Saccharomyces cerevisiae S288C: one gene and its partner. The protein of the gene in region 1 purifies or fractionates together with the protein of each later gene. This does not show direct contact. Each region holds a gene or a part of one and is shown in the gene's direction. Other genes may lie near its edges.

Evidence for each region.
Region 2: the proteins of ARG8 (region 1) and HXT5 purify together in Saccharomyces cerevisiae (affinity purification with mass spectrometry, with the first as the bait; one large-scale study listed by BioGRID). This does not show direct contact.

The regions. Positions count from the first base shown.
Region 1 is NC_001147.6:57,187-60,858, forward strand, and holds ARG8 (acetylornithine transaminase), read left to right. Parts: upstream 1-1,572; coding exon 1,573-2,844; downstream 2,845-3,672. Other genes in the region: tRNA methyltransferase PPM2, read left to right, coding at 1-1,353; CDC33 (translation initiation factor eIF4E), read right to left, coding at 3,197-3,672. UniProt on the Saccharomyces cerevisiae protein: catalyzes the conversion of N-acetylglutamate-gamma-semialdehyde (NAGSA) to N-acetylornithine in arginine biosynthesis.
Region 2 is NC_001140.6:293,907-298,412, reverse strand, and holds HXT5 (hexose transporter HXT5), read left to right. Parts: upstream 1-1,965; coding exon 1,966-3,744; downstream 3,745-4,506. Other genes in the region: PAL2 (Pal2p), read left to right, coding at 53-1,028.

The DNA.
Region 1 (3,672 bases):
GAGAATAGTCATTTTATTATTCTTGAGCAGTTGATTCCAAAGGGACCTTTTGAACCCTTTTCTAAGCAGATGCTAGCTCATTTCAAGAGAAATGATTCTCCGTTACAGTCTGTATTAAAGTATAATACTATCGAGTCACAGGTTCAACGATTCAATAAGTTAGGTTTCGCTTACGTTAACGTGGGTGATATGTTTCAACTGTGGGAAAGCGCAGATGAGGCAACCAAGAAGGAACTTTTAAAGGTAGAGCCTTTTGATGAACTAGAGGAGTTCCATTTATTTTGTCATCATTATGTTTTATGCCACGCTACGAACTATAAAGAATTCGCATTTACTCAAGGGTTTTTGTTTGACAGATCAATATCTGAGATAAACCTAACTGTGGATGAAGACTATCAGCTTCTAGAATGCGAGTGCCCCATCAATAGAAAATTTGGCGATGTAGATGTCGCTGGAAATGATGTGTTTTACATGGGAGGTAGTAACCCATACAGAGTAAACGAAATATTACAGTTGAGTATACACTACGACAAAATAGACATGAAGAATATTGAAGTAAGCAGCAGCGAGGTTCCTGTAGCAAGAATGTGTCACACTTTTACAACTATTTCTAGAAATAACCAGCTACTGCTTATTGGAGGTAGAAAGGCACCACACCAAGGTCTCTCTGATAATTGGATATTTGATATGAAAACAAGAGAGTGGTCGATGATCAAGAGTTTATCACACACGAGATTCAGACATAGTGCATGTAGCTTACCGGATGGAAACGTCCTGATCCTTGGTGGGGTTACAGAAGGACCTGCCATGCTGCTATACAATGTCACCGAAGAAATCTTCAAAGACGTAACTCCAAAAGATGAATTCTTCCAAAATTCGCTAGTATCAGCGGGTCTAGAATTTGATCCGGTTTCCAAACAAGGCATAATATTGGGTGGTGGATTTATGGATCAAACAACTGTCTCGGACAAGGCAATTATTTTCAAATATGATGCGGAAAATGCTACTGAACCAATTACGGTGATTAAGAAGCTCCAGCACCCCTTATTTCAACGTTATGGATCCCAGATAAAATACATTACTCCAAGAAAGCTATTAATAGTCGGTGGAACAAGTCCTTCCGGGCTATTTGACCGGACCAACTCTATAATCAGCCTTGATCCGCTGAGTGAGACGCTAACATCAATTCCCATATCAAGACGCATATGGGAAGATCACTCACTAATGCTTGCTGGATTTAGTTTGGTGTCCACTTCTATGGGCACCATACATATCATTGGAGGCGGTGCCACTTGCTACGGCTTTGGATCAGTGACTAATGTAGGTCTTAAGCTCATAGCAATCGCGAAATAATGCTCCTATCGGGATTCGAATGGTTGCCAGCTCGCTATGTGACTCACTTAAAGTACATGATGCGTCATTGTGCACTTTTTTACGAAATAATGGCCTTTTTCCGCTCTATTTAAAAGCGTGAAAAAAAAATTGCAACATGAAGAAAATTCGACTCTTAAGTGCAAGTGACTGCGAACATTTTTTTCGTTTGTTAGAATAATTCAAGAATCGCTACCAATCATGTTTAAAAGATATTTATCCAGTACGTCATCAAGAAGATTTACAAGCATTTTAGAGGAAAAGGCCTTTCAAGTGACCACTTACTCTAGACCTGAAGATCTATGTATAACTAGAGGTAAAAATGCAAAGCTGTATGATGACGTGAATGGTAAAGAATATATCGATTTCACCGCAGGTATTGCGGTGACCGCATTAGGCCATGCAAATCCTAAAGTGGCAGAAATTCTGCACCATCAGGCTAACAAACTGGTTCATTCCTCCAACCTTTACTTCACTAAGGAATGTTTGGATTTAAGTGAAAAGATTGTTGAAAAGACCAAGCAATTCGGTGGTCAACACGACGCCTCAAGAGTATTTTTATGTAATTCTGGTACGGAAGCAAATGAAGCTGCTTTGAAGTTTGCAAAGAAACATGGTATAATGAAAAATCCTAGCAAGCAAGGCATTGTTGCATTTGAGAACTCTTTTCATGGCCGTACTATGGGCGCTTTATCTGTCACTTGGAATAGTAAATATAGAACTCCTTTTGGGGATTTGGTTCCCCATGTCTCATTCTTAAATTTGAATGACGAAATGACCAAACTACAAAGTTATATCGAGACCAAAAAGGACGAGATTGCTGGTTTAATTGTCGAGCCCATACAAGGTGAAGGTGGGGTTTTTCCCGTAGAAGTTGAAAAGCTAACCGGATTGAAGAAAATATGTCAAGATAATGATGTGATTGTCATTCATGATGAAATTCAATGCGGTTTGGGCCGTTCAGGTAAACTATGGGCTCATGCTTATTTACCAAGTGAGGCTCATCCGGATATTTTTACATCTGCCAAAGCATTGGGAAATGGCTTCCCCATCGCTGCCACCATCGTCAATGAAAAAGTTAATAATGCTTTGAGAGTTGGTGACCACGGCACCACGTATGGTGGTAATCCGCTGGCCTGTTCTGTAAGCAACTATGTTTTGGATACCATAGCAGACGAAGCTTTTTTGAAACAAGTCTCTAAGAAGAGTGATATCTTACAAAAGCGCTTGCGCGAAATTCAAGCCAAATATCCAAATCAAATAAAGACTATCAGAGGAAAAGGTTTGATGCTTGGTGCTGAGTTCGTCGAACCACCCACCGAGGTCATCAAAAAGGCCAGAGAATTGGGACTTTTGATCATTACCGCTGGTAAGAGTACCGTTAGATTTGTTCCCGCATTAACGATTGAAGACGAACTAATCGAAGAAGGGATGGATGCTTTTGAAAAGGCTATTGAAGCGGTTTACGCTTAAATATACTTTGTAAATTGTCATGTATAGATTGTTTTTTTTTTTTTCATCTTTATATTGTAGTATAAAAAATGCCATTCGGTCAGAGACACATAGGAACATCTTACGTGATATGTACATGTGGTGCGTCTTTCATACCTTGAATGATATAATTAATAAGAGTTGTCCTTTTAACGTCATCCTCTCTTTTTTTTTTTTTTTTTTTTTTTTCTCCTTCATTTTGACTTTTCCTTCTGTGTTAACATGATGAGTTTATACGTGCATCCTAACTAGTAGAATGTATATATATTATATTATGATTATATATATAATTTTGATTAAAATAACAATTATCTTAAGAAAAATTCAGACTATCTTACAAGGTGATTGATGGTTGAGGGTGTCTACCATTGGCACTGGAATGTGGAAAGAATTCCAAATGCCCGTCATCGGTTAATTTTAAAACTTGCTTGAATTTACCACCAATTCTCAATAGTGGTTCTTTGTCTTCAGATTTAGTCCATAAGGCAAACTTGTTACCACCTTTTCTAATGCTTAAAACGACACCGTTAATTTGGGAGTCGTCTTCATCAATTGTTTCACCAATAACTGCTAGTAAAGTTCTTAGCCATAATTCATCAATATCAGCACCTTTTCCTCTAAGTTGGAAAGACCATTTACCACCTTTAGCATTGGCTTCATCTTCCCATTCAGGTCTAACGTCATTACGGAAGACGTGGTAATCTGATTTCAATGGTAGTTCGTGTGGCTCAGGAATATTTTGAATGATAGCCCAAAATTCTTCAACAGTTTGGAATGAAGTGACGGGACGTAATAGATCAGACCACGACT
Region 2 (4,506 bases), on another chromosome or scaffold:
TAACTCTTTTTCTCCTTTCAAAATCGATTGAGATAATCCATAATTATTGCAGTAACCCATTTTTAAATGAAGATGACACTAGGAGGGCCCATAACAGTAGCGTTTCCAATTCTAGACAAGAAAGACTCCCATCATATGAAGAAGCTGCGGGGACACCGAAACAGCAAGCTCCATACCCAAAAGAAAAGAAACGCAGTAGTGGTTCAAATAGTCACCAACACAACCACCACCACCATCGTCGTACATCACACGGACATAGGGACAAAGATAAGCAGAAGAGCAAAAGCAGAACCAAGGTTAAGCCCCCTAAAAATGTAGACACTATTGACAAGATGGATGTTACAGGATTATTTGGCGGATCTTTCCATCATGACGGCCCCTTTGATGCATGCACTCCACAGAGAAATAAGAATAATAAAGTGGCGCCTGTACTGGCCTTCCCAGCAGATGGTCCAAATAATACAGTAGGCGGCCGCACAAGTAAGAAGTCTACCTTAGATGAGGTGTTTGGTAGGGAAACAGTAGACGACGATTCTGAGACGCTGAACCAACTACAAGATAGAGCATATTTATTCAATAAGGCCAATTCCAGTACTACGACTTTGGATGCGATTAAACCGAATTCAAAAAATATTACCCAGTTCGATTCCAAAATGAAAACTGAACTAGTCCATGGGCCCATTACGATGGGTCTAGGCTCAACGACGTTCCTGGATGGCGCACCAGCGTCTTCCGCTGCCATAGAGCAAGATGTTATCAACCACGCACAAGAATCTCGTAGGAAAAACAGCATAGCAAGAAAAAAGTCTCTCCCCTCAAGAAGACATCTACAAGTGAACAACAACAATTTAAAGCTAGTGAAAACACATAGTGGACACTTGGAGCAAAAGGACGTAGACGATAATAGAACTTCTGTTCCGGTCACTGCCACCCAAGGAAGCGGTCACGAAGATGTTGTTAAAAAGGAAAACACCGGCAACAAGCTATTAAGGAGGGTGAAAAGCTTGAAAACTAGTAAAAAGCACTGATCAATGCTTCTTTCTTGCGTTCTTTTTGTTGCGCCCATATATTATTTTATTTATTACATTCATATAGCAATATTTACCTTATTTTATTGGTTACTTTTCTATACGCAAAATCACTACACTATGTTATGTTAAGGTCTCCGATACGGGAATATACCAATCAATACTTATCACTTCGGATTTTTTATGGGTCTTATCCCCACTGTTCCATTTTCTTGTTTAAGGCATCCCGGAGGATAAACTAAAAAGGTGGCCCATCCCACCCGAAATGAAAGTAATCATCTGCTAGCAAAAAGTAAAGAAATGAGAGCATGCTGTGATGTACTGGTGGACGAAATTGTGACCCATACCCACCGAAGAAACATCCGCATGACGTGTTACTGTTACTTCCCGGATTAAGGGATGCATTCTAACTCTGTGCGCCCTTTTCTCTGCAGTTGATCCGCATTCCCCGTGGCTGTGCACATTAGGGGACAGTAAGTAATTCACTTTCTGATCCCGCACTCATAGCGATGGAATAATATACCGGATTTCACACCTTGTTATTGAGTGAAGTACTGCTTGGTGAAATGATATCTTTATGTTCAATATTAATGGTCGTGTGGATGAATATATGGGCATGGGTTAATTAGTTTTAGGGGCACGGAGTAAACAAGAAAGGAGGGCCAGAATCATTAGTAGAGTACCTCAAGTTTGGTTTCTTTTTGATTTCACGTATAAAAGAGTCTCTCTCTTTTCTTTTCATGCTAGTCGAACGGTTCTCCCTCTAAGAATAAGAAACTATCAAAAGAAAGAGAAAAGTCGATTGAATAATTTTTCTATATATAATATACGCAAACAAGATTCGCTTTCACTTTGCAATTTTACTTCATAGCTTTGTTAAAACCAGCAAAAAATATTATTTTTCTAGAAAAAAGAATATATTAGAGGTAAAGAAAGAATGTCGGAACTTGAAAACGCTCATCAAGGCCCCTTGGAAGGGTCTGCTACTGTGAGCACAAATTCTAACTCATACAACGAGAAGTCAGGAAACTCGACTGCTCCTGGTACCGCCGGTTACAACGATAATTTGGCACAAGCTAAACCCGTCTCAAGTTACATTTCCCATGAAGGCCCTCCCAAAGACGAACTGGAAGAGCTTCAGAAGGAGGTTGACAAACAACTAGAGAAGAAATCGAAGTCGGATTTACTATTTGTATCCGTCTGCTGTTTGATGGTTGCTTTTGGTGGGTTCGTGTTTGGGTGGGATACTGGTACTATATCTGGTTTTGTCAGGCAAACAGACTTCATTAGGCGATTTGGCAGCACCCGTGCAAACGGGACTACCTATCTTTCCGATGTCAGAACCGGTTTGATGGTTTCTATTTTCAACATCGGCTGCGCTATCGGAGGTATAGTTTTGTCAAAGCTCGGTGATATGTATGGACGTAAGATTGGTCTGATGACTGTTGTCGTCATTTACTCAATTGGGATCATCATCCAAATCGCCTCCATTGACAAATGGTATCAATATTTCATTGGAAGAATCATCTCAGGACTGGGCGTTGGTGGTATTACAGTTTTGGCGCCTATGCTAATTTCTGAAGTGTCGCCTAAGCAGTTGCGTGGTACTCTGGTTTCATGTTACCAATTAATGATCACTTTCGGTATCTTTTTGGGATATTGTACTAATTTTGGTACCAAGAATTACTCAAACTCTGTCCAATGGAGGGTACCATTAGGCTTATGCTTTGCATGGTCTATTTTTATGATTGTTGGTATGACGTTCGTTCCTGAATCCCCACGTTATCTGGTAGAAGTGGGAAAAATTGAAGAGGCCAAGCGGTCCTTAGCAAGAGCTAACAAAACCACTGAAGACTCTCCTTTAGTAACTTTAGAAATGGAGAACTATCAGTCTTCTATTGAAGCTGAGAGATTGGCGGGCTCTGCTTCTTGGGGGGAATTGGTTACTGGTAAGCCCCAGATGTTCAGACGTACACTAATGGGTATGATGATTCAATCTTTACAACAGCTGACAGGTGACAATTACTTCTTTTACTATGGTACTACAATTTTCCAGGCTGTTGGTTTGGAAGATTCATTTGAAACTGCTATTGTTTTGGGTGTTGTTAATTTTGTTTCGACTTTTTTCTCGCTATATACCGTCGATCGTTTTGGTCGTCGTAATTGTTTGTTATGGGGCTGTGTAGGTATGATTTGTTGCTATGTCGTCTATGCCTCTGTTGGTGTTACCAGATTATGGCCAAACGGTCAAGATCAACCATCTTCAAAGGGTGCTGGTAACTGTATGATTGTTTTCGCATGTTTCTACATTTTCTGTTTCGCTACCACTTGGGCCCCCGTTGCCTATGTCCTTATCTCTGAGTCGTATCCCTTAAGAGTACGTGGTAAAGCAATGTCGATTGCAAGTGCCTGTAACTGGATTTGGGGGTTCTTGATCAGTTTTTTCACTCCATTTATTACTTCAGCAATCAATTTCTATTATGGCTATGTCTTTATGGGTTGTATGGTGTTCGCATACTTTTATGTGTTCTTCTTTGTTCCAGAGACAAAGGGCTTAACATTAGAAGAAGTCAACGAAATGTATGAAGAAAATGTGCTACCTTGGAAGTCTACCAAATGGATCCCACCATCTAGGAGAACAACAGATTATGACCTAGACGCTACTAGAAATGATCCGAGACCATTTTATAAAAGGATGTTCACTAAAGAAAAATAATCTCTTGTAGTGTAGGATCAACTATTTTCGCATACTTGCAATGTTCAGCATTGCACCATTTCAAATTTTAATATTAATATTAATCGTTTTCGTTCATATGTTCATTCATAGTTTACAAATAATGCAATCATATGCAGAGATATTTTGTCCGTGGTTAATAGGGCTGCCTGTTATTCCTTTAATTCAACTAAATTACGTATGTCTAATAATATCAAAATCATCATGACGTTTTTGTTTTTTTTCTTTATTTTAAGTAGGATCAAACCAGGGGAGAAAGGGTTGCTACGCCTAACAACAAGAACTTGTATATCGTTTCTTGTTACTTATACTTTTCTGCCCACTTCTCTCTTACAACTGCTCGAGCTCATCCTTGGTAATAAAACAGTGAGGACGGTTACTCGAGGTTTCAACAGGGGAAAATAAATTTATATGATGAATCAAGAGCCCCGTTCTTTTACCGTATTATCCTTCATACTACATACTAGGGAAAGAACTGAAAACTCCGCTACCTGCTGTAACAGCGCATAATAAAAAGCAAGAATATAGACAGTTACTGTTGTTTACGTTCTTTGATGACATCATTCTCATCAGACATACAGAAACACATCCTTTTTGTCTACCCCGTATTTATTCCAACTTCAAAGTATAGGTACCGTCCGGTTATACTCTCATATACTTTGTGGCAGTTTGCTTCTTTAAACCTTGTTAACCCAGAATATTTTCAGTGCAAAAAGCTTCCGATCCTCAAATACAGTGAGAGAA